Linked DNA regions of Rattus norvegicus. The main gene of each other region encodes a partner of the protein of the gene in region 2 in a complex. Links are inferred from orthologs where the notes say so. Each region holds a gene or a part of one and is shown on either strand. Other genes may lie near its edges. The genes, in order: Ctnnbl1, Bcas2 and Rbm22.

The links.
Region 1: Bcas2 (region 2) and Ctnnbl1 share a complex: the UniProt entries of both Homo sapiens proteins name them as parts of the PRP19-CDC5L splicing complex. The link is inferred for Rattus norvegicus from reciprocal best matches to the Homo sapiens genes BCAS2 and CTNNBL1.
Region 3: Bcas2 (region 2) and Rbm22 share a complex: the UniProt entries of both Homo sapiens proteins name them as parts of the postcatalytic spliceosome P complex. The link is inferred for Rattus norvegicus from reciprocal best matches to the Homo sapiens genes BCAS2 and RBM22.

What each region holds. Positions count from the first base shown.
Region 1 is NC_086021.1:166,804,144-166,814,491, reverse strand, and holds the start of Ctnnbl1 (beta-catenin-like protein 1), read right to left. Parts: upstream 6,594-10,348; 5' UTR 6,542-6,593; coding exon 6,512-6,541; intron 1-6,511. UniProt on the Homo sapiens protein: Component of the PRP19-CDC5L complex that forms an integral part of the spliceosome and is required for activating pre-mRNA splicing.
Region 2 is NC_086020.1:193,375,642-193,385,878, reverse strand, and holds the start of Bcas2 (pre-mRNA-splicing factor SPF27), read right to left. Parts: upstream 4,880-10,237; 5' UTR 4,863-4,879; coding exon 4,770-4,862; intron 4,684-4,769; coding exon 4,591-4,683; intron 3,254-4,590; coding exon 3,183-3,253; intron 2,672-3,182; coding exon 2,510-2,671; intron 138-2,509; coding exon 87-137; intron 1-86. Other genes in the region: Dennd2c (DENN domain-containing protein 2C), read right to left, coding at 8,808-8,839. UniProt on the Homo sapiens protein: Required for pre-mRNA splicing as component of the activated spliceosome. Component of the PRP19-CDC5L complex that forms an integral part of the spliceosome and is required for activating pre-mRNA splicing.
Region 3 is NC_086036.1:56,284,113-56,293,798, forward strand, and holds part of Rbm22 (pre-mRNA-splicing factor RBM22), read left to right. Parts: intron 1-173; coding exon 174-227; intron 228-2,434; coding exon 2,435-2,464; intron 2,465-3,020; coding exon 3,021-3,153; intron 3,154-4,196; coding exon 4,197-4,297; intron 4,298-4,877; coding exon 4,878-5,050; intron 5,051-5,670; coding exon 5,671-5,871; intron 5,872-7,646; coding exon 7,647-7,811; intron 7,812-8,935; coding exon 8,936-9,024; intron 9,025-9,164; coding exon 9,165-9,296; intron 9,297-9,686. UniProt on the Homo sapiens protein: Required for pre-mRNA splicing as component of the activated spliceosome. Involved in the first step of pre-mRNA splicing.

The DNA.
Region 1 (10,348 bases), on a different chromosome or scaffold from region 2:
GGGAAAGCATGAAACTGTCATGCAAAAAGTAACCTCTTTCAGTATGATCAGAATAATATTCTCAGGGTTAGAACGTAACTTGAGGCTGCCACAAAAATGAAGGATGCATTCTGAACACAAAAGTTCAGGCTTTCAACAATGTGTCTTATACGCCCAAGAACAACAAAAACAGAAACTGAAAAGGCTCAATTACAAACTCCAATTCCTGTCTTAAAAGCGGGGAGCAGGGAGCAGAAGTACAAATGATAAACATGTACAAGAGTAATATCCTCGCTCAAATAACTTTGAAGTAGCACTTTATGTGCCTACTAGATAAATGGCAGGGATGTAAATCACGACAAGCAGTACGGTCGGGACTGCAGTAAACTGGAGTGCAGTGCTGAAGGAGGGAGTGGCCCCACATGTCTCTGCAGCTAAAGGGACCCCACTGTCTCTGGCTACTCCCCCAATTCCCTGAACACCCATCGCACAAGTTTGCTCCTAATAGTTAGCAACGGACTCTTCCCAGCTTCCTCTGCCGCCCACAGAACTCCATCATAGCTGGGATTCTAATCTCTCTCTTCTCAATGACCAACTGAATCCACGTCCTCTGATCCAATACCTCCCTTAGCTTATCGAATCGTTCCGTGCACTGTGCTCATGGGACACTTACTACACACAGTGAGGTGTTTAAATGCCCACGTCACTTCTCATACCATGAATTCTTCAAGCCTGGAATCGGGTCTCAATCATTTTAACACATGCCAACCTTACCTCAGGAAAGCGTACAAAGTCATTGTGAGTGACCAGGAGAGGGGGAAATGCCACACGAGCAAAGAAGCTCCAAACAACATTACACCCCCATCAAAAACCTGAACACGACCTAAATATCAACTGTGGAGTAATAACTGAGGGGAAAATCATCTATGACTCGAATGAAAGCTCGCATACGTTAGAGAGCAACATGAAAGCTATGTAGAAAAAAATACATGTTACTTAAAGAAATCAACACAAAACAGTCCATATGCAATACTTACAGGCATATAAAATATATTCATTGGATTGGAGTAGTGGTTTTTCCTTGCTTCAAATTCTTCCTTACTATTCGACAGTTTATTATCATTAAATTTTATTTCAAAAGTAAGAAATGGGAGAGGAGCAAAACAGACTGGAAGAAGCCCCTCCATCCAGGAAAATGCTGGCGTTACCCACATCGACAGGGGGAGTGGGTGTCTGCAATATCATCCAAGCCAAGGGTCCCTGACCTCAATCTGTCTCAAAGAGAATTCCTCTGGAGGTGCAAAGCCAGTCGTTCCCACCAAGCCAATCTGAACTAAATGCGAATTCTTTATTGCAAAACTTCAGAGGTAAGAACTTTTCCCCAGACGTCTGTGGAATGAGTATTAATGAGAGTGCCCTGGAGTTCAGATCTGCGCCTAGGCAGCAGAAACTTCTCTCCCGAGCCACTGCTGGGCACACTTCTTGATGAGATGTCTAAGCCTGAAGGCATCAAAAAAGTGCATTTCCATATTGGGAACATAACTGGTTTCCTCTTTAAGACTTTTCCCACCACCTCCTGTCCACATTGTAATTCTCCTGTCTTCTCAAATGAATTGCTAACATCTGTCAAGGGTAGAAGGCATACACTGAGGTGCTCTCCTGCCTATTACTGAAAGAACCAATCTCAGCAGAAAATTGCAATCTTCCCACTGACTTGCCCCAAAAATGAAATTTAATAAGCAAGCTAAAAAATGTTAAAGTTTTAATAAACACTTCCTATTGCTGTATGAGACTTCTTCTTGCTCACCTTAGACCCTGAGTTTTGGAATGGAAAGAACCACAAGTTGTACTGCCTGAACTCCTCGCTTTACAACTGACAAGAGAAAGGATGTGCAGGGAGGGAGAGTGACTTGTCCTGAGTCACCCAGATAAGTGCTGATAACGGCTGGATTAGAACCCAAATCTCCCAGGTCTCCAGCCCCAAGCCCTTCTACTACATCATGCTTTTTCAGGTACTGGACTCTCTGGAGCCCTTGGCCTAAATAATTAGTATTTAAATTTTAAAGCTACTAGGGACCTCAGAGAGTCATACCTAATCCCCTCATTAGGCATATGAGGAAACTGAGGCCCAGAGAGATTAAGTGATTTGCTCTCTGTTTTGAGCGGCAGGGAAGAAGTACAGCTTAAGCTGAAAAACCTGCAGACCGGTGCCCAGGAGAGGCCAGGGCTGCCTCAACTGGGACAAGCTTAAAAGGAATGCAGATGCTTCTAGACCAGTGTGCCTTCATGTACAGTCCCTGACCACCAGCTTTAGAATCACCCCAAATGTGCAAAACCCCAACTCTCAGAACACTGAGGCAAACTTCTGAGCTGGGAATGCTCTAGCCAGACAACTTTGCTCCCTTCTGTTCCCAGGGAGCGAGCATCAGTGCTCATGACAGTCGGTTTTGCCAATGTTGACACTGCGCAGCAGGGCTTACAATTTACGCTTTCTTTTACACATCAGTTCGAGGTTGTTTTAACAGCAGCAAACATGCCTGGGTGTTCAGGGCTGGCTCTACTGCTTCCTGGCTGCCTGAGCTTCACAGACAGGAAACTTGCCTCCCTAGCTTCGGTTTCTCTTTGCATGAAGTAGTCACACCATCTCCCTTTGGAGGATGTGCGGACCACCATACCTGACAATGTATCTACAGGCACATTAGTTCTGCCCCTGGCACACATCAAACAGACCAACACAGCAGTCAGGACCTCCACCTAAGAATAGGACTGCCTGAGTGCTCTCCGGCTAGGATCTCAGTTTCTCCCGTTGTAAAATGGGGATTAAAACAGCTCCTCATACTGGCATGCCTGTAATCACAGCACTCCAAAAGACAAAGGCAAGAAGCAGGCAAATCTTTGTGAGGCTGAGGCTAGCCTGGTCTGCAGGCCGCCCAGGGTGACACAGTGAGACTCTGTGGGGTTCAGAGGGTTCCTCCTGCTCAGTGGTAGAGTGCTCACCTAGCATTCATTAAGCTCTGGTTCTGTCCAAAGCCAGGTGGGGTGACAGACACCTGCAATCCCAGCATTTGAGAGGTGGGAAAGGAGTCAGAAATTCAGGGTCATCCTTGGCTACAAAGTGAGTTTGAGGACAGCCTGTTCTACATAAGACCCTGACGAAAGAAAGAAAGAAAGAAAGAAAGAAAGAAAGAAAGAAAGAAAGAAAGAAAGAAAGAAAGAAAGAAAGAAAGAAAGGAAGGAAGGAAGGAAGGAAGGAAGGAAAGAAAGAAAGAAAGAAAGAAAGAAAGAAAGAGGAGGGAGGGAGGGAGGGGAGAGGAGAGGAGAGGAGAGGAGAGGAGAGGAGAGGAGAGGAGAGGAGAGGAGAGGAGAGGAGAGGGAAAAGAAATTTAGTTCCTCAAAGAGCTGTTATGTGGATTTAGAGAAGAGGCAGGTAAATAATTAAATAATTATTTTGTGTAAGAGTATCGCTGTCTTCAAAGCACTTCCACTTCCATAGGCTCGTCTCATCCTCAAGATTTCCCACAGGAGGACGGCCATGTCTGACTGATTATAGACTAGACTCTATAGATTTAGACTACAGATTCTAGATTAGACTCTGACCTTTTCAGATAGGAATGGAGGTAGACTGTGCTGAAAGGAACAGAGTTGCAAATACACGACCAAGATTCTGGAGACACGTCAAGTCACCGCCTTGGCCTGTCAATCACTGCCCCGGCTTGAAACGTTAGCTAGGTCTGTCTATCAGATCTGAGTTCTTGTTTAAGCTACAAACAGGTGGGTTAAATGAAGACATCTGTATCACCTCTCAAAATGCAAAGGCTTTCTTCTGGCCCTTAAGGAGGTCCTACCTCAACTGTAATCTGCCAATATTTCCAGATGCCGTGTCACCTTCTGGTGTCCTGCTCACTCACCAAGGCTGGGTTACATGGCTCTTCTCTCTGCTTGTCTAATGGTCCTGGAGCCTGTGCTCACAGTCTCTGCCCCTGACTTCATCATTCTGCCCTGTCATATGCTGGCTCCTTAACCTTCAGGGCACTAACGCTGGCCCGTCAGACTCCTTCCCTGACCACTCAGTCTACAGAGGCCCTGAAAGGAGTTATACACAGCGGCGTTGGCCAACAGAAATACAATGAGAGTCACAAACCTTACATAGAAGTTTAAACTCAGAAGTAGGCACGAAATTTAAGTTTAAAAATCTATTATCCTTAATCCAATGTATAAACGTAATCTACCTTAAAAATTAAGATAGTTCATCATTCCCCAATAAAGCTGTGAGACGCAGTGTGTACTTTACACATAAGCACTTGATGCAGGTGGGCCACTCTTTCGATATCCAACAGTCATGCGCACAGCAGACGCCAAACATGCTCACATTTCCACAGCGGATTCTGCCGCACTCCCTCATAACACTTCTGGCCATCTAAGTTTCTTATTTGCTTACTCAATATTCTCTGGCGGCTCCCCCACTGTATTTGCCTTTTCAAAAGCAAGAGCCTTGTCTTGTTTATTTCCACATCATATGCTCAAAGGACCAAGTAGCTTGTGCACAGTAAATGTCCAACAAGTATCTGTAGCCAAATGGGCCTCTCCTGGCTGCACTGTTCCAGCTCTGAATCAATGGACTGGACTCTACAGATTTAGACTATGGATTTAGCCCAGAACTCCCAAACGAGTATTCTTCAGTGACCTTCCCACCACCTTTCTTGTTCCATTATCAATTACACTGTCTTAAAGGGGAAAATATTGTGGCCTCGCATCTGTTCTCTGACACTTATGTATTCTTTCTCATCAGGCTTGGAGTCTCCATCTATGGGATCAGGGTTTATATATTGGCTAAAGGAAATAATTACCAATATTAGTATTTATGGACTGTTATTATACTCTGCAACAAACACTAGCCTAACACTTTTTTTTCTCTTTTTCTTTTGGTTTTGGTTTTCTGGACAGGATTTCTCTGTGAGACCCTGGCTGTCCTGAAACTCACTCTGTAGACCAGGCTGGCCTTGAAAGATCTGCCTGCCTCTGCCTCCTCCCAAATCCTGGGACTAAAGGTGTGAGCCACCAACTGCTATGCATAGCTAGTTTTTTGTTGTTGTTCTTTCATTTTGTTTTGTTTTGTTTTGTTTTGTTTTGTTTTTAGGACAGAGTTTCTCTGGGTAGCCCTGGCTGTCTTAGAACTCACTCTGTAGACCAGGCTGGATTTGGACTCAGAGAGATCCATCTGCCTCTGGCTCTGGCCTCTGCCTCTGCATGCTGGGATGAAAGGTATGTGCCACAACCACCTGGCCCACTGTAAATTTCTTAACAGAAGAAAAAATTTCTTCACAACAGACACAAGGTAGGTAGCATGAGGTATTCTGTTCAAGGTTACAACCAGTCAGTAAGAAAAAGAAGAGATTGAAGGCAACCTGGGGCTCCAAATCCAGGCTTTTGGAGGATCAGGGGGTTGTTTCACTAAGTATCGCTGGCTGGCCTGGAATTTAGTGACCTGGGGCCTCTGCCTCCCAACTTTCAGGCACTGAGATTAAGGCATCCATGGCCAGCAGTTCAGGCTCACAGCTTCTCATCACCTACTCTGGTCTTTTAAAACAATCACAGTTTGAACACTACACAAGTGGGCAAGGTTGGCTAAAATTGTATTTTATTTCCATTACCCAAAGTATGCTCCATCATATGATGGTCTCGTATATACTCATTCAACCAACATGATCAAGGCTCTGTAATCAATATAAAAATACTACCTTTTTTCATACTATGTCTTTAGAATGAGGTGTGATTTACAAAACAGTACTTCCTAATTCAGACTAATTACCCTGTATGAGCTCCGACGCTATTGCAGCTAGTGAAAACAAGGCTGGACCCAAGGAACCTCATTAGGCAGTTAGGCAGTCAAAAGAGGGCGAAAACTTTGGGCCGGGAGCCTGGACACTTGAACTTTATCTAGTCTGTAGCTGTTGAGTGACCTCGGGCAAGTCCTTTCTTCTCTCTAGGTCACCCGTTCCCCACAAGTACCCTGAGCAAGGAGGTCAAGAGGTCTCTGAGGGACCCATTCCATGATTCATTTTCCAAGTATCTTAACAATTGCGGGGACCATGGCCACAGGTTTCTGCACTTTCAAATGACCTTTCACATATATCCATTTTATAGATTTTAAAAGAAAAAACGAGACTCCGTGACGGGAGAAAGACTTATCCAAAGCTACACCGACTCTTGGTAAAGAAACTGACACCGAAATAAAAAGCAGTGTTCTCCACAACTGTCTTAAGCGCTATGAATTGGAAGAAATGAGGCCGAAGAGGAGCTGAAGGGAATCGGGCTGCCGGGTGGGGAACAGAGATCAAATGGCTCAGGCCTGGAGAAAGAAGGGGTCGAAAGGGTCCACGAGGGCTTAGGGGAGTGAAGTGCAATGACAGGATGCAAGCCCGGGTGACATGAGAAGTGAGGGCCAGGGACCGAGAGGAGGCAAGATGACCGGGCTCTTCCTTGCGACGCCAACGAGGATGAGGAGCTCTCCGGCCCTGCCAACTGCACCTACCTGGTAGCTTAAAAGTTCGCCCACGTCCATGGTTCCGGACCCAATCAGCACAGTGTACCCTGGTTGCCTCCACTTACTCCCGAACCACGGGCCGCTTAGAGGCTTTTCCTGCCACACTGCCGTAAAGCGCCAGGCCTCAGAACCAATAGAGTAAAAGAGCGCGTGGCCGGCGCTCTCGCCACACTGCCGTAAAAGAAAGCGCTGCCGTAAAGCGCGCCGCAGTTTGACTATTCTGCTTCCGCCTGGATCCTGAAGGGGCAGGAAAGTGGGAGGATGCTAAGGGAACAAACCTAAAAACTAGGCGGTCATCCAAGTGTAGAGCAGAATGCCTGATGTTTCGTGGGTAACCTTCCACGTCTTCCAGAGACTGCCACTTTTGTTCTTATTTCACCCTCATTTCACAGATAAAGAAATTGAGTTGTGGGGCTGGGGATTTAACTCAGTGGTAGAGCGCTTGCCTAGGAAGCGCAAGGCCCTGGGTTCGGTCCCCAGCTCCGAAAAAAAGAACCAAAAAAAAAAAAAAAAAAAAAAGAAATTGAGTTGACTGGTTGGCGGTGTTGTACGCCTTTGATCCCAGTACTGGAGAAGCAGAAGCGAGCAGATCTCTTGAATTCGAGACCAACCTGGTCTACAGAAACGAGTTCCAGGACAGCCAGGGCTACACAGAGAAACCCTGTCTCGCATGGGTTAGAGAGAGAGGAGGAGAGGGGAGAGAGGGAGGGAGAGAGGAGCTAAGGTTTAAAATCCTGCGTCCCATATGATAGTCGCCTGTGGCTAGTCCTATCACATGTGACTACTGGGCACTTGAAGTGTGGCTAGTCCTAATTGAGAGGTTAAGTGTGAATCAAATGTACACTGGATTTTTCATACTTGAACTGGTGTCTTTTTTTTAACTTATGGGTAAAGGGAAATATGAAATGAATTTGAGTTTCTTATTTGTTAAGTGCACTTAATAGATATACTGAAATTGCTTACATGGATTTCATTTTGGGGTTCCCATTATGCTTCCCCTGGACAGTGCTGGCTTACAAATTGGCACCTGGGCATAGATTACTGGTGACTGAGAAAACGTTGATATCGTGTTTGTTGTTTGTTTGTTTGTTTGTTTGTTTTTTCTGAGCTTCTGTCATTGGCACAAGACCCAGTAGCAATTGGATAATCTTCACGTCTACCCAAACAGTATAAAAAAGGTCTGGGAGTCTGGAGAAATGGCTCAGCACTTAGGAGCACTTACTGCTCTCTAGACAACCCAGTTTACTTCCCAGCAGCCATGTTGAACAGCTCACAATTGCCTTTAACTCCAGTTCTAGAGGATCCGATGGTCTCTTCTGGCCTCCATTTACACCCAGAAGCACACACACACACACACACACACACACACACACACACACACACACACACACACTTTTATAAAAAGAGGTTTCTGGGGAAGGAATTTGCCCGTTATTGAAATAGTAAGGAATCACAACAGACTCCATCCCAGAAAGCCCATTCAACTATCTCCAACTACACATGAGAAACGTGTTATTCCTCAAACTGCCGCATCCTCTCCTCATTATTCCCTCTGCGAGCACTTCCTCTGCTGTTCACAGACTCAATCCGTCACTTTGTACCTGATAGTTGACATTTTATGTATTGACAGCCTCATTAGTTCGACTGCAAACTCTAAAAGTTGGGGCTGAGTTTGTCAACTTCTCCCTCAAATCTTCAAAGCCCAGAACAGGGCATGGTAGAGGTTTCACAATGGGCTTTGTGAGCTTTGGTAACGAGAGTGCATTTTATACCGTCTACTTAGGGAAGTAGCTGAGAGGGTCAAAACAGGGATGTTTTCTGACTGGGTTTCTGTTTTCAACAGGTGGCCTGTGCAAACTGCTTTATAACAGTTCATTTGCATGTATTACCCCTCCCTTTTGATTAAGTGTAGATTGTAACTTCCAGAAAGACAAGACAGAATAAGGGTAAAAGTGAGTCTTTTGAGCCAAAAACAGACTTGTGTTCTAGTGTGTGCCTTGCCTCGGTCAGCTTAAATAGACAAATTTGCAAAAACCCAGTCTGGTGGTTTGAATAAAAATGGCCCCCCGTAGGCCCATAGAGAATGGCACTGCTAGGACATGTGTGTCCTTGTTGGAGGAGGTGTGGCTTTGTTGAAGAGGTATATCTCTAGGGAGTATGTTTTGGGGTTTCAGAAGCTCAAGCCTAGCCAGTGTGTCACTGTCACTTCCTGCTGCCTGTATGTAGGTCCAGATGTAGAACTCTCAGCTCTTTGTCCAGCACCATGTCCGCCTGCACAATGCCATGCTTCCCACCATAACCATAATGGACTAAACCTCTGAAAACGATTAAGCCAGTCCCAATGGAATGTTTTCCTTTATAAGACTTGCCATGGTCATAGTATCTCTTCACAACAATAAAACACTAAATAAAACAAAAATTGGTGCCAAGGACTGGCCATGCTTTTGTTTAGAGGAACACAGACTTTGGGATTTTGGATTAGAAAAGTAGTTAAATGCTTTCAGTGGGGCTTAGTGGGCCATCTTGGTAGAAACATGGAAGACAGTGGTACCTGGAGTGATTTGAACTATGGGGGCCTGCCTCAAGAGGTTTCAGAGGAGAAGAATGTTAGCATGTGGCCTAGAGACTGTTCAAAGAGAAACAGGACACCAAGTATAGTGGAACTAAACCCTCTGTTCAAGGAGACAAACATATTTTTTAAAAAATGGAATAAAGGGAGTGATGGCTTCATGTCAAGATCCCACCCAGCCAAGCTTCCAATTTATGAAAATGAGATAAAGAAAAGGTGAGAGCTAGGTGTGAGGGTGCACCCCTTTAATTCCAGCACTCCAGAGGCAGGAGCAGGTGGATCTCTGAGTGTGAGGCCAGCCTGGTCTACACATCAAGATTCAGGACAGCCAAACTTAGACAATGAAGAAAGAAGCCATCAAAAACAGAAAGCTGATGAAGATGTCATTTTTACAAGGGGGCCAGGTTTGAGCCCCAGCAAGCACCAGAACTTGACAGCTTTGGCGACGTGGTTCTGACTTTACAGTCAAGGATAGAAGAACGGGGTTACGGAATCTCTCTGGTCATGGCCATGGTGTGTCTTCATAGCAATAAAACCCTGAGTCACCCAGAGTTAATTTTCAGAGAATTTTCTAGCAGATTCGCATCAGCATGGAAACATTCACGGTGGTGTATTGTGTCATGAAGAGATCGATTCATAGTACAAATCACAGCTGTCACGTATTCTTCCAAAAATCCACCTACCAACACAGCCCTGGCTCTTGGGCTAGCCAATGTTCCATCTGCCACAGCTGGCTGGGCTAAGTGAAGTCCCATCTCCAGACTTCAGTTCTCTCCTCTATAACATGACCCAATTCTGTAATAAGTAACTAGTAAGAACCTACTCAGTGCCAGAACAACGCTTGGCTCTCAGGATAAAGCTCACATGTACACGTGCTGGAGAGGGACGCCATAGCGCATGCGTGGATGTCAGAGGGCAACCTCGGGTGCTGCCGCTCACTTCCCACCACCTTTGAGACAGACTCTCTTTGTGGTTTGCTGCTGCGCATGCCTCTGGAGATTCTACTGTCCCCACCTCCCATCTCAGCGCGAAGCGGTAGGAATACGGGCACACGCCGTCATGTCTGTCTGGCTTTACACAGGCATTGGAGTCTCACACTCAGGTCTTCAGGCTTTCAAGGCAAGTGCTTCACACAGGGAGCCATCTCTCCAGTCTAGCATGGTGCTTTTATATAAAACAAGGTCTCTTCCTTCTGGGAACATATATAGTTAGAGGGGAAAGGTCTTGTACAAAAAATATTGTCCAGGGTTAAAATC
Region 2 (10,237 bases):
AGAAGTGGAATTTTACTACATAATAGTTTTTCTTTCCCTATCAGAGGTTCATCTACATTTTGTTCAAATAGAAATAAACAACTTACCTTAACTTCTGAAGCTCTTTCTGTGCATGTTCAATCATGTGAACAAGGTTTCTAAGGAAGGAAGGGAGCACAGACACCTTGAAATCTGGTAACACCGAGGAAAAGTGAATTGCCTATTTATACCAAGTCAGGTTTTTCTGCTAAAAACCTAAAAATCTGGGGATCTGTGTCTAGAATATCAGATAATTCATTAACATTTGTTTAATCCAGTACTTTACTGGGTTTGATTTTAGATAATGATGTAACTTATCATTTTTCTGTTTTTCAAGACAGGGTTTCTCTCTGCAGCCCTGGCTGTCCTGGAACTCACTCTGTAGACCAGGCTGCCTCTACCTCCAAAGTGCTGGGATTAAATGTGTTCACCACCACTGCCTGACCTGATGTTACTTCTTAAACTCTTAGGACCTCTGTTTTGGAGACAGTGTCCCACTATGCTCTCCAGGGTGGCCTTGAACTCCTGGACTCAGGGAATCCCTTTGCCTCTCAGACTGTGTTAAAGTAGCTGCAGAACTAAAGACAGTGCCATCAGACTAGTCGTGACTCCTTTTGCTATGAAGACAGAAGTCACACACCACATCGACCTTCTCTTATGACAGATGATCACCATTCAGGTCTCCCTGAGCAACCCTGGCCTGACTGTGCTGGCTCCAGACCCAGTGTGTATAGTGCTGGCAGGGACACCAGGACTTCTCTAACGATCTTTCCTCCCACAGCTGTACCTTTCTAGTTCCCACCCTCTGCTCTTTCCGAGGCCTGCCAATCCTGCACTGGAGAGTGTCATTCTCACGCTTGATTCTGAGGTTTCTGTTTGAACTTCTCGAAACTTTACTTTTGATAACATTTGCTTCCTGTGGAGAAGTAGCTACTGGGTTTGGAGGCAAATATGCTCTGAATGTTCAGAGTGCTGTCTGGCTGAAAGGCAGACAAGTGACGTGCACACAGTTGGTGAGCTAAAGACAAACAGACTAGAAAGCTGTTCTCCAGACTGTACGGTATATTCCTTTGTTCTCCATACTGCCGGTCTCTTGTCTGAGGGAACTATAAGGTGTCACTGTATAGTGTAGGCCAGCTTATACAGTGTCACTGTGCCTAGTCTCCTTGCTGTCTTAAGAATCCAACTGTACAGATGTAAGAATGCATCTGGGTGTAGGTGTTAGGTATCAAATCCAAACCGCATGCTTGATGCACTGCAGCACTGGGCTATCATCTGACTCCACCATTCTTTTTAAATAAAATCTGTTTGAGAAAGGGTCTCAATCTAGTTTGGCACTGATTTCTGGTCTTCCCCAGGGCTTTGATTAAATGTTCTACTAGGTCCAGTTCTACCAACCTTTTAAAATGACTTTCTTCTTTTGTGACTACCACGTAGACCAGGCTGGCTAGGAACTCACACAGACCCACCCACCTGGCTCTGCCTTCCAAGTGCCGAGCTTACAGGTATATGGGCATGTAGCACCATACCTGGTTAACGGTCATCATTCGAGGATTTGTCCTCCATCTCTCTAGCTTGTCAGCAGAAAGGACCTCTCACTGAGCCTGGAGCTAAACTGGTGGCATCAGTAAGCCCAACTCAGCAGAACCCTTTTACAATTTCGATTCTCATTATTTGCATATTCCACACTACTCGGCTTGCCTAAACCACTGTTTACTAATTTGTGAGAATTCATAAACACGTCCACAGCAGTGAACAATCTGGGTTTCTGGTCCACAACTAAGGCTACACAAGGCCCACTCCACTCTTTAATTTTAGTTCTCCAGTGAGCACCAGAGTATAGAATTTAAGTGTTGGGTATTAATCTATTAATAAGACAGGGACTAAATTTGTGGCTTGGGGAAGCTGTGTGCCTAGGCTAGCCCCAAATGTAGCCATACTCCTGTGCGTCCAGCTTACTGTTTAAAGTTGTAAGAGGTATGTGTGAGAGGTAGGTGTTTGTGTGTGAGTGTGTGTGTGTATAGATACTTCCCCTAGGAGAAATGGTACGGTATCCCTGATTCTGTGTTCAAGACTTAAGTACCATGATACATGAACATGGGAATCCATTATTTAAGCATCCACACGTTAAGGACTGCATTTTATCAAGTGGTGCTCTGCAGATCACCCTCAGAGCTCATTTTCTTATACCGCACAGTGAGTGTGGGAGTTATGTGGACGTAAAAGAGCTCAGCATTAGTGAACTCTAAGGCAGGACTCGAGATGCAGCCTTTCACTCTGTTCTGATACAGCCCCAAGTCAAGTCTAGCACAACTGCTATTATTATTTTGGACATGCAGTTTTGCTAGGTGAGCCTAGGGTGACTAAACTCAAAATATAAGCCAGGCAGGCCCTCCTCCACACCCCAGCTTCCCAGCCAAGTGCTGGAATGATAAGCATGCACATACCACCCTGGGTGGCACAGGATAAGAGAGAGCCCAGCGCCTCTTACTCGTTGTACACTTTCCAGGCGTTACACCCATGCTGTGACATCAGTTCCAGATTCTCAATCCGCACTGCCTGATGCTCCAGCTGGGCCATAGAATTGTTTACACAGTCTTGCCACGCAGTGATGTCATTTTTTTGACCCGAGGAAGGGGCTGGCAGTTCATATCTGAAATTACATAACAAATAAACCAATGTATCTCGCAAAGACTCATCACCCCTTTCCACAGACATATGCCCATTACATAAAGGCAGAGACACAAAGTATCAACCCCTGACCATGACCCTGCATGTGCAAAAGACCAAGGACACAATGTAGGCCAGGCAGTACAAAGAAACCTGTTAGTTTGGAAACTGATCTTGACAGATAAAAACACAGTTGTATACTGTAACAAAGAACTACTTCCATAAATGTAAACTAGGTAAATAAGCTGTGAGTCACAGAGACTCTCATGTCCCTTGTCCTTGTTCGTCTACCATGACCCTTCTTACATAAAGTCTGCTTATCAGCTTTTTAAAAAGTTGCTTAAAAATACTGTATTATATCTGCTAGCATTTTTTTTTTTTAATGTAGTAATGATGATTACAGTTCTCTCTATTCCCACGTCCTATGCCCAGCAGCAAACACTCTTCCCAACCTCTGGCAGCGCTGCGGTTACCACAGCTTAGCCTCATCTTACCGCTTCATGCTGAGTAATTCAATTGGTTGTCGAGCAGCCAGTCTTTCAAACTCATTTCTCATTATGTCTGTCTGATGCACAAACAACACAAAGAATTAGTGACAGGATCATGTTGAAAATAATGAATGTAATTTACTTATATTTTATACTTTATACTATACATTATAGTGAATCTTTTCTCCTCTCTCAATTACTTCTCAAATAAAAAGGATGCGAATATTTGAACCCAGGACCACTATACTACACCCTCACACACCCCTCAGTTTGCTCTGAGGTTAACGCTATCTAGAATCTGAAGAAATAGGCATATTCTTTAATTCCATATTCTACCTAGGCACGATAGGAGGTGAACCTAGAAGAGCCCAGCTGTCAAGGATTAACCCTACATCAGCAGTCTTCAATGCTCTGCAATCAGTTGTGGAACTCTGAAAACAACTTTAACCCCAGCCCCATGTCACGTTATAATTCACAACATAAAGTAACAGTCTTGAATCATTTCAGGAAGTCTCTGGTGCTGCATGACGGTCTGACACAGCGTAACCTGTGAAGTCACATGATGTAACATGGACCAGCACTTGGATCTGGGGCTTGATTTTTTTCCAATTAATTTTTGGGTTAGTACTTTTTACTCTTGCCAAATTTCTTGCAGCTCCCACATCAGTTATGAAACCCCCACTGAGGAGTCACAACCCAGTTTAAAAACCTGGGATCTGGATCCGAAAGAATCACACATCCCTGTACATGGAGCAGTCTTTCTCCTTCTCCTTCAGCCTGAAAGTATTTTAACATCTTCGTAGTGTAGCAGGGTGGGGGTGGGGAGAAACTCTGAACAGGTGTGGACTGAAATTTAACAGAATTCATTAATCTAGAAACGACACCGCACATTTACTTGATTAGGGCCTAAATGGTGTTTTGGTTGCACTTTGAGGATAACCATTAAGACGTACTTGTTCAGGCATTCATACACCTGCTAACTATCGGAGTCTTGGTACAAAAATCTCCCTCCAGTGGTGGCAAAGAGTACAGGCACCTAAGATTATAAATATTAAAATCTAATACCTGTTTTTGAATAGACATTGGAGAATAAAGGGTTCTTTTGTGAAATATACTATGACTCTTATATTAAAACACACACACACACACACACACAGAGACACGGCGTGGGGAGCACTCTTCAACAAGTCTGCAGAAACCAATGAAGTCATTCGCGGGTTATTGTAGTACAGACCCTATGAAAAGCTCATCTGGTGGTTTGAACCGACTGATACCTATATGGCACTCAATATGAGCAGCAAGCACCAGTTAGCCTGGAAGGTGACGTTCATTTTACACAGCTAAAGCTCTCAATCCGAAATCAAAGTCCGCAAGCCTCCTGGTCAGAGTGCTGGGCCCAGGACACCACACTTACTTCAAAGGCAGAATAATCTGGGGCTGTCAGGTAGCTCAGGTAGTTCTTGGTAGGTCGGTATCTGCGCGTTTCCTCCTCCACCAGGGCCGCAGCCTAAGAACGAGAACAGGCCGGGGTCGCGGCGAGAAAAGGGCAGCAGCGTGCCTCCGGCGGCCCCGCCGCACATGCCCTGCACTCACCGCTTCCCGCACGCCAGGCGCTTCATAGCCTTGGTCAAAGTAGGGTAGCGCATCCACTACCACCTCCCCCGCTACCAAGCCCGTGCCCGCCATCGCGCGGCACTGTACTCCAAGAGCGCCTTCTGAGTCTGCGCAGGCTCGATTAGATTCTCTGCGCCTGCGCCTGGAATGACGTCACGCTGCCTCTGGCTTTTCGCTTCCGGCGCCTGTGCAGTTGGTAATTGTAGCCGCTAGACTCTAATATTAGTTATCACATGCTGACATGCCAGGGTGACTTTCTTTGTATGGGTACCGCGTGGGTTATTTTCGAAGGAGTGGGTAGGGTAGACTTGGGAAGAGGCGGTTGCTGGACTTGGCTGGAGGGGAGAAATAGATTTCCACATCCTTTAACCTTCCATTGTTTAAACTCGCCATGGTGCTGGGCTTCTAAGCACTCCCTTGTTTTATCCTCATTTCGCAGCTGGCCCCTTAAGAATGTTCTTTTATAGAAACTAGAAATCTGCGCCTATTTTCCAATCAAATTTTTAGATCTAACAACCTGAGTGAGGGATGCGGCTCAATGGCAAAACCAATTCAGTCCCTGGCACTGCAAACACCTCAACCCTCCCAGGACTGTATTATATATACAAAATGCCTCATTTTAAAAGCTCTGCCACGAAGCAGGGGCAACTCTGGAGCAAGTTAGAAATCTAGGAAAAGGGAAACTTGAGGTTTACCCTAAGACTTGAAGCAACAGGGGATATGGAACCTGAAATGGCCACCTCCTGGAACCAGGCAAGACTTCTAATGGAGAGATGGGAACACCAACCCACCCACAAAACCAAAATTTGTCCTGCTTATAAAAAGTATGAGGATAAAGATTGACCAGAAACTGAAGGAATGATCAAGCAATGACTGGCCCAACTTGAGACTCATCCCATAAGAGAGAGCCCACCCCGACACTATTCATGATGTTCAACAGCTGTTAGAAACATGCGAAGATCCACAGCCAAACATTAGGCAGAGCTCCAGGAATCTTGTGGAAGAGGGGGAGGAAGGACACCACAGGAAAACACAGAATCAACTAACCTGGTCCCGTAGGGGTTCACAGGGACTGATCCACCAACCAAAGATACAACGGACAGACCTAGGCCCCTACAAATATGTAACAGATGTACAGCTTGGTCTTCATGTGGGACTCTAATGGCTGGAGCAGGGGTTGTCTAACTCTGTTGCCTGCCATTGGACTCCTTTCCCCCAACTGGGCTGCTTTATCTAGTCTCAATAGGAGATGTGCCTAGTCCCACTGCAACCTGATATACCAAGGCTGGTTGATATTCACGGGAGGCCTCCCCTTCTCTGAGGAGAAAGGGTGGGGTGAGATGGGGATAGGAAAGGTGAGAGGGAGGGAGTAGGACAGGATGGAGGGGAGGCTGTGATCAGGATTAAAAAGATTAATGATAAAATCCTGTCATTTTTGTCTTTAGAGCCTATATAAAACCCAATCCCTTTGCCTTTAGGATTTGTGGTAATAGAATATTACTCCCCGTTGGCTCTCAACCCCTCAGGCTGTAGTTAGTACACACGCTCTGTAAAATATCTTCCAGACTAAGAGGTAAATGCAAAAACGATTGTCAGACTACATATGCTATCCAACGTGCATTCAACCACGGTTTATCTGTTAAGAGCTTTGGAAAAGTTGGTCACGGTTATAAGCCCAGTTAGTCTAAGATGAATTTGAGAATTTATGACTGTGTAAATGTGCTGTCTATAGGGTTATGTAAAGTGCAGTATCTTCACGTGTTGGGATTTGGTGAGAACTGCTTCTTGGGGTTAGAGATTTGAATACTCAGTCCCCAGCTGGTGGCGCTGTTGTAGAGTTTAGGCTGGAGAAGTCTCTGGAGATGGGCTACTTTTGCTCTCTGCTTTCAAGTTGCCATTTGAAGATGTGAACTCTCCCTGTTCCTTCCTGCCTTCATATTGGCGCCATGCTTCTCCACCAGAATTAACTCTTAGCCCTGGACTGTAGGCAGGATGAACGCTCTTCGTTAACGTTGCTTGGCCATGTTCTAGCACTGCCACAGCAAAGCAGCCACTACACATCTTAGCTGCTTTGTCTTAAATTCTCCAAGAGATCTGTGGAATTTTTTTTAAAATGTCTTTATTCATTAAAAGATCTGTAAACATTTGATAGAAATGTTGAACAATTCTCTTTACAAACGTATGTAGAATTCACAACATTTACAAAAACAAAGTACAACAAACTCAAGGAAAGGAAGCAGCTTTAGACTGTAAGAAGGTAAGACTCTCCCTGCAGAGGGACAGTCATGATTGACCACAGTAGACCCTCCTACCCCACCTTATACACAATCAGTTAGGAACTGTTCCATTGGGATTGGAGTAAGAAGAGCCCAAATGAGAGAGGTGTCTGGGAGGGGCTCCACTTCGGTAAGCTGCATTAACATTTTAAAAGACAGGCTCAGTTCTCTTCCCTGGACCACATCTAGGAACTATATTGCACAGCACCAGTCTTAAATGGATTCGTTCAAATACAGCTGCATAAGTGACAATAACAATACTGTACAACAGTCGGTTGTGTACAACACAACGTACAACACTTTCCAAGTCTGAATAAATATTTTCCATGCCAGGTAAAGCCATGAGCAAAGGCTACAGAAAACAACTGACATTTATCACAACGTCTATCACCTCTCAATGAAAACTGCACCCTCACTGACAAACTCCCTTTCCCAGGCCCTAGGACTTTAGATTTCCAGCATCTGGTTGATGAAGAGGTATAGGCTTAGGAAACACTAAGTGAAACTCACACCGATGTAAAAATAACCAGCGTGGCAGAACGCACAGAAGGCGCTGGGTTCTATCACCAGCAGCAGAGGAACAAACCTTGCCTAGACACCCACAGCTTAGAGTCTCATCAGAGCCAAGAGGAAGCTCTGGTGTGCTCCACTAAGAACTTTAAACATCACTATAAACAGTTCATTTACACCTGTAGGACTAACCAGCTTTGTATGTGTTCGTAAGTCAAGTGTTTGGCTTAGTTCTGTCTTGTATATAACTGGCCAAATTACTTAGCCTCTCTGAACTCCAGTTTCTTGTAAAACATCATGAAGCTGATCTAAAGCTTGAATAAGATGACATGTAGATTATCACAGTGCAGCAAATTGTAGACACCAAAACTCAATAAACAGAAGCTATGCCCTTAAAAGGACATTTTCATATTGGCTCCATTCCATAAAGCATAATGCTGACATATAAGAAGCAAGTTATCCCAGCAGGACACGTATTCTGGGGGGGCCCTGCATGGTGTCTGCTTTTTAAAGTTCTAACATGAGTGAAATCCTCCAAGATAGGACATGGGACAAAAGGGGGTTATCAATGGCAACAGTACTGGAATTTCAAAGCACAAACAGTCCATGGATTTAAAGTAACCCGACGCTTCAGTAATAAGAATCGTGTGACCATGGTGTCCTCCATGTGTCTAGTACCTGAAACTCTCAGTATTCTTATCTCTCGTTGATCTCATCTTTGCATTGTTTTTAGAAAATGCAACACCAAGTATTTCTCAGTCTTTCTCTTGTAAAAGACAACTACTTTCATAGACTAAGCACAAAGTGGAGCTTCTTGTGCTCATCAATAACCAAAGATAAAACACCACAGTAAAAGTAACTTGCCCAGGCATGGTGGCATATGCCTTTAATCCCAGCGCTTGGGAGGCAGAGGCAAGCACACTTTGTAAGATCTTTGAGATTTGTGAGATCAGGATTTGAGGCCAGCCTGATCTCCACAGTGGCAAGTTCCATCACAGTCAGGGCTATATATACAAACCCCGTCTCAAAGACAAACAGTCCCCGAATCAGAAGAGCAGCGCGCACTGGTTCCACACTGTTCCCAGTTGGTCTGCAGCAACAGGAGAGCCCTCTGACAGTTTTTCTCCTCTTACAATCACAAGGACATCACAGGGCTCCTCAAAGCATCCAGATCCTTGGGAACATACTGTCCTTGGCACTTTCAGTTATGCGTAGAATGAAGACAAAGATTTCACTTCTTGTGAAGAAATCTCATTTTGCTTCCTGGAAAGAGAAAAAGTCTTCGAACTTACTTCATCTTATCCCTTGTACACATGAGCCATTCAGAACCACTCGGGGTTAGCTGCCTTGTCAAGTGCTAAGTGTCATCTTTTATATTATGTATATGACTACACTGTCTCTGTCTTCGGACACACCAGAAGAGGACATGAGATCTCATTACAGATGGCTGTGATCCACCATGTGGTTGCTGGGAATTGAACTCAGGACCTCTGGAAGAACAGTCAGTGCTCTTAACCGCTGAGCCATCTCTCCAGCCCTAAGTGTCATTTTTTATAAGTGTCCCCCCAAAGTCCTATGTGTAAGAGCTTGTGGCACCAGTGGAAGGTAATGGAATCTTAAAAAGGCGGGGCCTCGAGGGAGGACCTGGTCTCGAGTGCCTTGCACTCTTTGTCCCTTTCTGCCTCTGCTTCCTGGCAGCCATGACACAAGCAGGTTCTTCTGTCTTTGTCTTTCCACAGGCCCAAAAGCATCAGGGTCAATCAGCCATTGGCTGAAACTCCCCAAACTAGAACCCCAAATACGCCTCCAGAACAGCGGTCCTCAACCTTCCTAACGCCAAGACTGTGTAACATTGTGGTGACCCTCTAATCATAAAATAATTTTTGCTACCACATAACTGTAGTGTTGCTCCTGTCCTGAGTTGTAATGTAAATGTTTTCCTGTCCTGAGTTGTAATGTAAATGTTTTTGGAGACAGAGGCTGTGACCCACAGGTTAGAAGCACTGCTCTAGAGCCTCCCGCCTATCACTTTCTGCTCCACTAATGGAAAGCTATTGGTTGACGGGTTTAGCCACTAAAAACCCCATGAATGTCTAATTGTAGAGGAGGAAAAGAACTCAAGACATAATCTAATACAAGTGGTTTTCAATCGGACTGGAGTTTCAAATTACCTGGCTTACTCCCTGGAGATTTCTAAACGCTCAAGAGAGAGCTTTTAAAGTCCCTAAAAATCACCATCTGATCTAATGTAACCCACGGTGCGGATGAAATCACAGCCTGTGGCACAGTTTGCCCACAGCCTCCCAGCTAGTTAAGGGCAGGGTCCAGTCAGGGGCATACACTCCAAAGCTCGGAGTTAGGGCCATTGTCTCCTGTGGACACCACTGTCCTCACATCGTCCCGGAGAGTAAGCATCATAAGGAACTGCTTATAAAATGCAGAGTCAGGCTGAGGCTTCCTCTTCTGCTCCCAGCCCCCATGGATTTTTAAGTCTAAAGTCCATGGACATCCTAAAATTATACGCAAAATTTATCTGTATATTTAAATACATTATTTTCTGGCAAATAGAACCTTTTTTTTTTTTTTTTGGTTCTTTTTTTCGGAGCTGTGGACCGAACCCAGGGCCTTGTGCTTCCTAGGTAAGCGCTTAGAACCATTTTT
Region 3 (9,686 bases), on a different chromosome or scaffold from region 2:
TTTCCTTTTTCTTCCTGCCGGAAGTGCAGACAGCGTCCCTTCCCGGGCCGCGGCCAGTGCGGGAGGGAGCTGGGGCTCCTGCCAGCCTTGCATCCTTCCCAGCCCCAGGACAGTGACTGAGGGAACAGGGTCTTCGGGACTTGATCTTCAACCAGCTTTTCCATTTTCTCCAGGACTTCCCCATTCTGTGTCAGACGTGTCTTGGAGAAAACCCTTATATACGAATGGTGAGTGCTTTCCTGTGCAGCGGAAGTAAACTGTTCCTTATTTTGTGGTCCTTGCAAGGTAAATGTAAAGAGTTTCTCTTAGCCGTTAGAAGAATTGATGCTCTTTCTAACCCAAAGGGAGGACAACTTGCAAAGTACTGCCCTACCTATTTCCTCTCCTAGATACTGAGCAGTAATCCTGTGACATAGGAGCTGTAACATAACAGCTAATACTTGTTGAGCATCTAACCTAAAAAGTAGGTCTGTTGACAGGCGAGAATATCTTTACGTAGCACTACTTCCTGGCTACTAGTCATGTATCTCTCAGCCACTGTGCCTTGGGGTAGTCTCTCTAGTTTAAGATACACTCCATCTCCTCTCCAAAAAGGGTAAAATAGCGACAGGCATCAATGATTATAGGGTTGTATGTTGTGATCGGCCTCACAGATGCTGACTCTATAGTTTATGGGAACAGAACGTTGGATACGTACCGTCCACCAACCAGCACAGGAGAGTCCAGAGCAGTTACCTTTTGCACAAACTATAGAAAGACTTGTCTCTAGTTATCATCCTACTTGATTTGGTGGCTGGAGACCTTGGGAATTTTGGTTTTCACACCAAAAGAATTTTTAAAATTCATCCCATTAGTTAACAAAGATTAGATGGCATATCCACATCCTAATATAAAAAAAAATCAGTTCTTAATTGACGCTAATTTTTTTTTTTAATAGACATCATTGGGTGTAACATATTCCTAAACCAGCCATGAGTGGTGATGGCTACCTTTAATCCCAACCTTTAGGCAAGTGGATCTCTGTGAGTTCAAGGCCATTCTGGTCTGCAAATCAAGTTCTAGGCCAGCCAGGGTTATGTAATGAGACCTTGTCTTTTTCTTAAAGCACATAGATACCATCCTTCCCCACTGTCTACCTCCTCCAACCCAGCGACCTAGCGAACTCTCATGAGGAGAAGCTGCCGACCACATTGCAAGAGTAGATGCTTTAAAAAGCCATTCCCGCTTCAGGTGCTGCCTGCCATCTCCGGTCTTGGTTTTCCTAGACCAGTCATCAGCTTGGTGGCCAGCTCCCACCAAACACATAGCCAACCAGCCAGGTGATTGGATTGATGTTTAAACAGTTTCCTCAAAGATTAGTCAGCAAGAAACATGTGCTAGAAATTGTGGAAGCTTTCATCTGGAAAACAGAGTAGCCCTTGAAATAGCCACCTTCCAGAACAGATTTCTTCATTCTTATTAATTTTTTTAGGTTAGCATACAAAGGGATGGATTTCATCTTGGCATGTTTCGTATGTACTTCGATTTCAATTCTTTCCCTCTTCCGCTGCCCTGCCCCTTTCTCTCTGCCCCTTCTGCCTCATTTTCTTAGATCCCCCAGTTTACCCTTCTTTCTAACAACACCTGTTTTATTATCCCCACATACAAACTCTTTCTTCCCACTCAGGGTCCCTTTTCTTGGTTCATGATCTACACACATACACAAGTACAATTTAAAATCTAGGTTCAACATATAAGAGAAAATATATGGATTTTTAGTAGGAATTTTAGTTCTTGAAAGTCAGAAGTAAATCTAAGAGTTAAAGCTCCAGGAAGACACTTGGTATTAGATCAAAAGAGAATATGATCTTGTCGGAATATCTCTCTCTTAATTTTATTTCTCTTGCTGTGGTAAAACACCCTGACAAAAACAGCGTAGAAGAGTGGAGTTTCATTTGGCTTACAGTTCACAGACACAGTCCATCATTGTGGGGCAGTCAGGACAACAGGAACTCGAAGTAGCTGGTTACATCACATCCAAGTCAAGACAGAATGAATGCATGTGTACTTGCTAGTGCTAAGCCCCTTCTTCACTTCCAGAGTCCAGGGTCCAGGGTGCAAGCTGTGGGAATGGTGCAGCCCATGATCAGGCTGGGTTTTCCCACGTCAACTAACGTGCACACAGGCTGATGTAGGTAGGCAGTCCATCATGGAGGCTCTTGATTCTAGGTTACGTCAAGTTGACAATTGGATCTGACCCTCACAGCATCCCTTACCGTAGCCCCAACGAAAAGATGAATTAGGTTTGATTTGATTGTCTTTCCAGGGATCTCCACACACATACCATGTTTTGTACTTGGAGGTGGGGAGAAACAGGTACCCGGGTTGGTTTCATTTGTCTGTCTGTCTGTGTGCTTGCTTTCTCTGCCGTAATTCCAGTTCTTTTCTATTTCAGACCAAAGAAAAATATGGAAAAGAATGCAAAGTAAGTATGTCTATTAAGAGTTAATTTTCATTTTCTTTATCCTTTTCTTCCCTGTATTCTACCAAAATGGCTTTGTGTTTACTAAGTTTTGAGGTCCTCCATTCAGAGTTCATGCTCACAGCTTTCATGATATAGTCAATAGCTATGGGAGAAAAGAAAATGGCCATTCCAGTGTTAATTCATAAACAGGTGTCTAAATATGCACCAAACACCACGAGTTTGTGTGCTGAGAGTTTTAGCTGAGGAGGAAGAGGAGGATTGTGGCTGCCACAATATTCTGGAAGAGATATTTCCTGCTTCACTTTCCTTGTTCCCCACGAAACAGACAAGTCAAAATTTAATGTTGTTTGCCTCTAGGTAGGAAGGCTTTGACCTTCTAAATGCATATTTCTATACTATTTTAGCTTTTTAACTTCTAGAAAAAAAAGGAATTAAAGGGGATTGGGTCGGCTGACATGTAAATAGATGATTGCTAAGGCCAGATCTCCATACTTACTCAGTCTGAATTGAGTCCAGGTCAGAACGATTAAGAATCTGTCCCTTGATGTGTGTTCAGATCTGTGCCAGGCCATTCACAGTATTTCGATGGTGCCCTGGGGTCCGCATGCGCTTCAAGAAGACTGAAGTGTGCCAGACCTGCAGTAAATTGAAGAATGTTTGTCAGACCTGCCTGTTAGACCTAGAGTACGGTATGTTTGCCATGTTCATTAGATCTGAGAGTGTGCGGGTGCCCAACAGGGCTTTTCCCAAGAAAAATGCCATAACTAGGCTGCTCTAGAGACCTCCAGAGCAATAGTAGGAACTTCAGGAGCAATTGGAAAGAAACTAGAACTGGCCTATTCACCCATCTCTGTGCCAGTTGGCATTGCTGCTATGACAGTGTTTGTTTGTTTGTTTGTTTGTTTGTTTGTTTGTTTTTCCTGGATCCTTTTGATCGAAAACTTTCCACAGTCCTGAACAAGTTCCTGGGCTAATTATGCTGTGGGCTGTTGGACCAAGTATTGCTTCTATTTCAAAACACTTGCTTCTGTTTTTACTTTTTTATGTAAATGAGGTTTTCCTTTCAGAAAAAGTTACCTACTGGCAAGGGGGGGGAGAGGAAACCTGCTGTGGCTGCATATCATTTTATATCATATATTTGTCAGGAGTTCAGACCTGGAGTACAGTGTTACTAAGCATAACTGTCTGTCCACAGGAATCCAGTCTAACAATAAACCACTCTGTTCTATGTATTTTAGGTATATTGTATTAAAGCTGGATACTTTATTAACTTAATTAGACCCTAAAGTATATTCTTTGAAACAGTTTTCTAAAACACTCACGTCACCGTATTCTATGTCAGCACAGGAATTTGGACAGTTTCTTAGGTAGTCTCCGCAGCAGGTGTTAGCCCGATGGTGCTAAACAGTCTGATTTAAAACATTGTAAACTGTCACAAGTAGGTTGATTATCTGATTTTAAAGATTTATTTTTGTTTTTCATTTGTGTATATGTGGGGGTGGGGTATAGGGCAGAGTCTAGAAGAGAATGTTGGCTCTTCTGGAGCTGGAGTTACAGTGAGCCACCCTGCATGGTTGTAGGGAGCCGCACGTTGGTCCTCCGTAGAGCAGCTCTCTTGATTACTGGAACATCTCTCAAAGACCCACCAACTAGGACCAAGAAGGGAAGAGTGATGTTGTACTTTATGTACATATTGAATATGAATATTAATTCCTCAATTTCTTTGTACCAGGCCTACCCATCCAGGTCCGTGATGCAGGGTTATCATTTAAAGATGACATGCCTAAATCAGATGTCAATAAAGAATATTACACCCAAAATATGGAAAGAGAAGTATGTTTTTTATTTCATTAAAATCTAATTATATCACTTCTCTCCAACCCCTCCTATGTCTTCTCCCTTCAACCCCTCCCATCTATGGCCCTCCCAAAAGATGGCCTCCTTTTCTTTATTAGTGTGCTAGGCATGCTTGCATATGTGTTTGTGTGCATGTGTACTGCGTGCATGTATGCATGCGCATGCATGTGTGTGCTTGATACCTGCTGGGTTCATTTAATGTGGCCTATCTGTATCTGATTTCAAAACCGACCACTTTATACTGGATAACCAGTTAGGGAACTCCTGTCCGGGAGACTAATTCTCAGCAGTCATTAGTTGCCTGTACTTTGTCAGCCTTTGTTTTGGCAGGGACATTGTTGAGATACCATGGGTGTAGCTTCCCTGTCACTTCTATGACTCAGTCTCACACCAGACGTCCTGGTCCTCTGGCTACTGTCTCGATGCCGTTGTGTATCTGGGGGAATGGATTGAGTATACATGCTGCTGGGAACTGAACCCAGGGCCTTGTGATGTAGTTTTGTGTTTGGTAAAATCCTAGTGATTGACGGCTTATAAAGTTGCCTTCTCTGTGCAGATTTCTAACTCTGATGGAACACGGCCAGTCGGAATGCTGGGAAAAGCAACATCCACTAGTGACATGCTACTCAAATTGGCCCGGACCACACCTTACTACAAAAGGAATCGGCCCCACATTTGTTCCTTCTGGGTGAAAGGAGAGTGTAAGAGGGGAGAGGAGTGTCCCTACAGGTAAGGCCGAGCCTCACCTTCAGACTCCTGAGAAGTGGGAGACGCTCGCTTAAACTCAGGCCTCAATGCTAAAGCTCTGTGGTCTGTTCGCAGGAGAGTAGCTCCTGCTTTAAAACATAAGAGCCTGGCTAAATTACCTTTTACTTACAGCTAAGCCTTGGCTACTGAAATTGCTATGTTATATGCTATACGTGCTGACTGTTTCTAAGTAAGTGCTAAGTTTCTATGCTAATTTGGTGTCCATTTAAATGGTGTGAATAGCAAAATGTAGCTGAAGTCAAAGCAAGGCCAGTGGCCTGAAGGCTCCTGCAAGCATCGGTTAGGGGTTTAGCTAATGATTGGTTAACTGTAACACCACCCTGAATACACACCCTTTTTCTGAGGTGAAGTCGGATTCAGCCAGAGCCTAGTAGAGCAGTTTAAGTGGATTGCTTAGAGCATCAGGAAGGCTTGATGTGGTAGAATAACTCCTCTGGTATTTGCTCTTGTGTAGTAACTATTCCTGGTGAGACACTTTTCTAATTTGAAAGGCATTTGAGGGATCCTTACTATGTAGCTACTGCAGAGTGATATTTTTCCCTTTCTTTCACCATGGTGCATTTCCCACTTGCGAATCTTAGACATGAGAAGCCTACCGATCCAGATGACCCTCTTGCTGATCAGAATATAAAAGACCGGTACTATGGAATTAACGACCCTGTGGCTGATAAGCTTCTCAAGCGGGCTTCAACCATGCCTCGTCTTGACCCACCGGAGGATAAGACGATCACCACACTGTATGTGGGTGGTCTGGGAGACACCATCACTGAAACAGACCTCAGGTTTGTGAGCGTCATTTCACAACTCTTTGCTTTTAACTGCCTTTGAGTAAATAGTTTGCAATAATATCACCAGACATACTTCTATTTCTTTATCCAGTCTGTCATTGATATGAATGCCGATTCAAAATTTTATAAATCTCTTTTTTATGATGCCAGAGGAGTTGTATTTTTCAAGAGTGCTTTTTATCTTTGCATCAAAAAATAATATAGGGGTCTAAAGACCCATTTGAATTTTTTTAATTTTTTAGTTACTATAGACTTGTGCAAGTGGCTTCAAGAACCCAAAGAGCTCTAGATCTTGCAGGTGGTTGTGAACCACTCAGCGTGGAAATCAAACTTAGATCCTTGTGAGAGCACTGTGTGCTCTTTACTTCTGAGCCAGCTCTCTCCGTATTGGGCAGGTGGCGGGGGCGGTGGAGGGGTGGGGGGGTTTCTAGCCAGGGTTTTTCTCTGTAGCCCTAGCTGGGCTGTTCTGGGATTCACTCTTGTTAACCATGCTGGCCTCGAACTCACAGAGGTTCTCCTGCCTCTGTCTGCCAAGTGCTGGGAGTAAGGGTGTTGTGCCATCACCGCCAAAGGATGACATACATACACACCTGATTGTTGTGGAGGGCAGAGCGCCCTGCGATTCCAAAACTCTTTGGTTTAAATTGTTGCTTTTTGTATTTCTGGCTTACACTGTGTTTGACTAGAAGAGAGATCTCTTCCAGGGAGATGAACTAACTCTTGCCTTGGTAGCCTTTCTCTTTGAGCTAGCAATCTCCATGGGCCAGCTAGCTTTTATAAAAAGGCTAGAGAAAGCACTTTGGGCCTAGTTGACCTATGTGATCTCTTTGAGCTATTGCTCCCATTTTGTTTTGCTTTGTGACATGTAGTTCCCTGCAGCTCAGGCTAGTGTGGCGAACTCTGAGGACCTAAACTCCTGCCTCTCCTGCCCTCGCCCTCTCCTGCCTCTTCTGCCCCTACCCCCTGGTACTAGAGTTATAGGCAGGAGCCACCAGGTCTCATTTGTAGGATTTGATTTTGATGTATTTATTTACTTATTGTTTATCTTTGTTTATTTTGAGACAGGGTCTTGTCATGTAGACTGTCCTGAAGCTCAAGACCTTCCCCTTTCTCTGGTACTAGAATCTGTGCCTGGGCCACCATACCTGGCTTTCTTCTTGTCTTCCATTTTCTTTCTTCTTTTAGTTTTAAGCTTTTTAAATTTCAGTCAATATTTTGTATTTATTTTCCAGTGCTAGGATTTGAAACCAGGACACATATATTAGGCCAGCGTGCTCTGCCATTGAGCCATTCAGTTTTCAACTCTTAAACATTGTGTTCTTAGGTGGGCGTGATGGTATTTGCTTACAGCCCAGCTAAGGCATGATCACTTGAGTCCATGAAATCAAAACTAACCTGTATAACATAGCAAGGCTTAATCTCAAATGAAAATGGTCTTGGCACTTGGACCGTAACAGCTGTAGTTTGCCAGTGTCTTATACTAGGGTAAGAAACTATGGCTCTGAAGTGACCAATTAAAGGCCCTCCCCTCCTCCCCAAGAAAAACTCCAAGATACATAAGAACTTTTGCCTAATTTTTCCCTTATCTCCAACAAGTAGCACCTACAGTAGGGCAGGTGTGAGAGAGCCTTAAAGACAAGCACCTGTGTGTCCGAGGGGCTCCCCTGTGTGTCCGAGGGGCTAGTGACTCGGAACACTTCCGTAGCCCATTTCTGTTTTCTCAGCACGTCTGGGTTACTAACCTGTTTTCCCGGGCCTGTGCTCTTCAGGAATCATTTCTACCAGTTCGGAGAGATTCGCACAGTCACTGTTGTGCAGAGGCAGCAGTGTGCCTTCATCCAGTTCGCCACCAGGCAAGCTGCCGAGGTGGCTGCCGAGAAGTCTTTCAACAAGCTGATTGTGAACGGCCGACGACTCAATGTCAAATGGGGACGGTATGAACAAGACTCTTCTAAACTGTTCATCTGGGGATGGAAAGCTTTGTTTACATAGGTTTGACAGGGCCTTTACAAATCTTTAGGCCCTTCTCTGGTATTTTTTAAATGACTTCATTTATGTGTGTGGGTGTTTTGCTTACTTGCATGTCTGTACCATTTGTGTGCCTGGTGCCAGGAAAGGGTTTGGATCCCCTGGGACTGGAGTTGCAGATGGTTATGAGCCACCATGTGGGTGCTGAGAATTGAACCAATGTCCTCTGAAAGGGCACCCAGTGCTCTTAACCTCTGAGCTATCCTGCAGCCCCTTCTTTTGTATTTCTTAGTATTTGGAAGCTTCTTCCTTTAGAAATATATTCAAGGTCTTGCTCTAATAACCTGCTCCTTTGGAGTTCTTCATTTTTTAGCAGCCGTTGTAAGGTAAACATGATGTAAGATTGCCAAAGGTAGATATTGGGGGTCACAGTTGAATTAGACCTAAGTGCTCTCCTCAGACTGAGTACTGGGGAGTGGAGGGAAAGGCACTAAAGCAGAAGGAGATCCGTTTTAAGTTTGAAATTGTCCACAAAAGAGAAAAGGCTGTAAATTTTTTTCTTTCTTCTTTTTTTTTTTTAAGGGGGGGTGTGTGTGGTTTGCTTTGGTGTTTTGTTTTGTTTTGTCTTGTTTTTAGAGACAGTTTCTCAGTGTACTCCTGTAACTCAGTCTTAGACCAGCCTGGTCTTGAACTCACAGAGATCCCCCACCTCTACCTCCTGAGTACTGGGAGTAAAGGCTTGCACCACCTAAGTTTCAAAGGGGACTGACTCTGTGTCCATCTTGAAAACAGAGAGGAGCAGGCTGACAACAGTTCCCTTCCTGGGGGGCCTTCTGTCTGCTGAGCACTGCTGCACACATGAGTGCTGCCCTCCCTGGCAGTGACAGTGGTGTTGGTCTGGTTGTTTTCTTCTTTTGTTTTGTTTGAGATCAGGTCTTTCTGTGTTGTCCTGGAACTCAAAGAGATCTGCCTGCCTCTGTCTCCTGATGCTGGGATTAAAGGCATGCACACCCAAGGGAAAGAGGGATGGAACTCTATTTTACTGGGGATGGGACGCAGTGCTGATAATCCTGTGTATATATGTCTCCAGATCCCAAGCAGCCAGAGGAAAAGAAAAAGAGAAGGATGGAACTACAGACTCTGGGATCAAGTTAGAACCTGTACCAGGACTGCCTGGAGGTCAGTTCATGTCAGAGACTCATTCAGCTGGGGTTTCTGTTAGACGATAGCAGGCGTGCCTCTGTGGCCTGTGTGGCAGGCCAAGATGTCTGTGCTAGAGACATCTGCACGTGGTACTGATTGTCCTCCCTTGTCTCCAGCTCTGCCTCCACCTCCTGCCGCAGAAGAGGAAGCGTCTGCCAACTACTTCAACCTGCCCCCAAGTGGGCCTCCAGCCGTAGTGAACATTGCCCTGCCCCCACCCCCTGGGATCGCCCCACCCCCACCCCCAGGTAACTGCCTTTTTCCTTCCTGGCCCTGAGAAGCCCTTGTGAAAGTCCCGCACCTCAGGCCATCTGCCACCAGTCTGCTCTTTGTCAGTTCATCCTAACTGATGAGCTGTTAACCTGTCCACAGCAAGGATGGGAATCAGTAAACCACTGCTGTCGATAGAAACCCTTCCTACAAAATGACATGGGGTAGGTTATGGACGTGAGTGCCTCTTTGGCCTATGCACTCTATCATGTCAGCGGCCACCAGCAAACAGTTCAAGCGATAGCACCGAGTGTGAGTGTGCATGACTGTGAACAATGCAGGAAGTAGTGGGTGGCTAGTGGTCTTCGATATCAAGCCTGTGTCTGTGAAGACAGTCTTTTCATTCTGCAGTCAAGCACAGAGAAAGA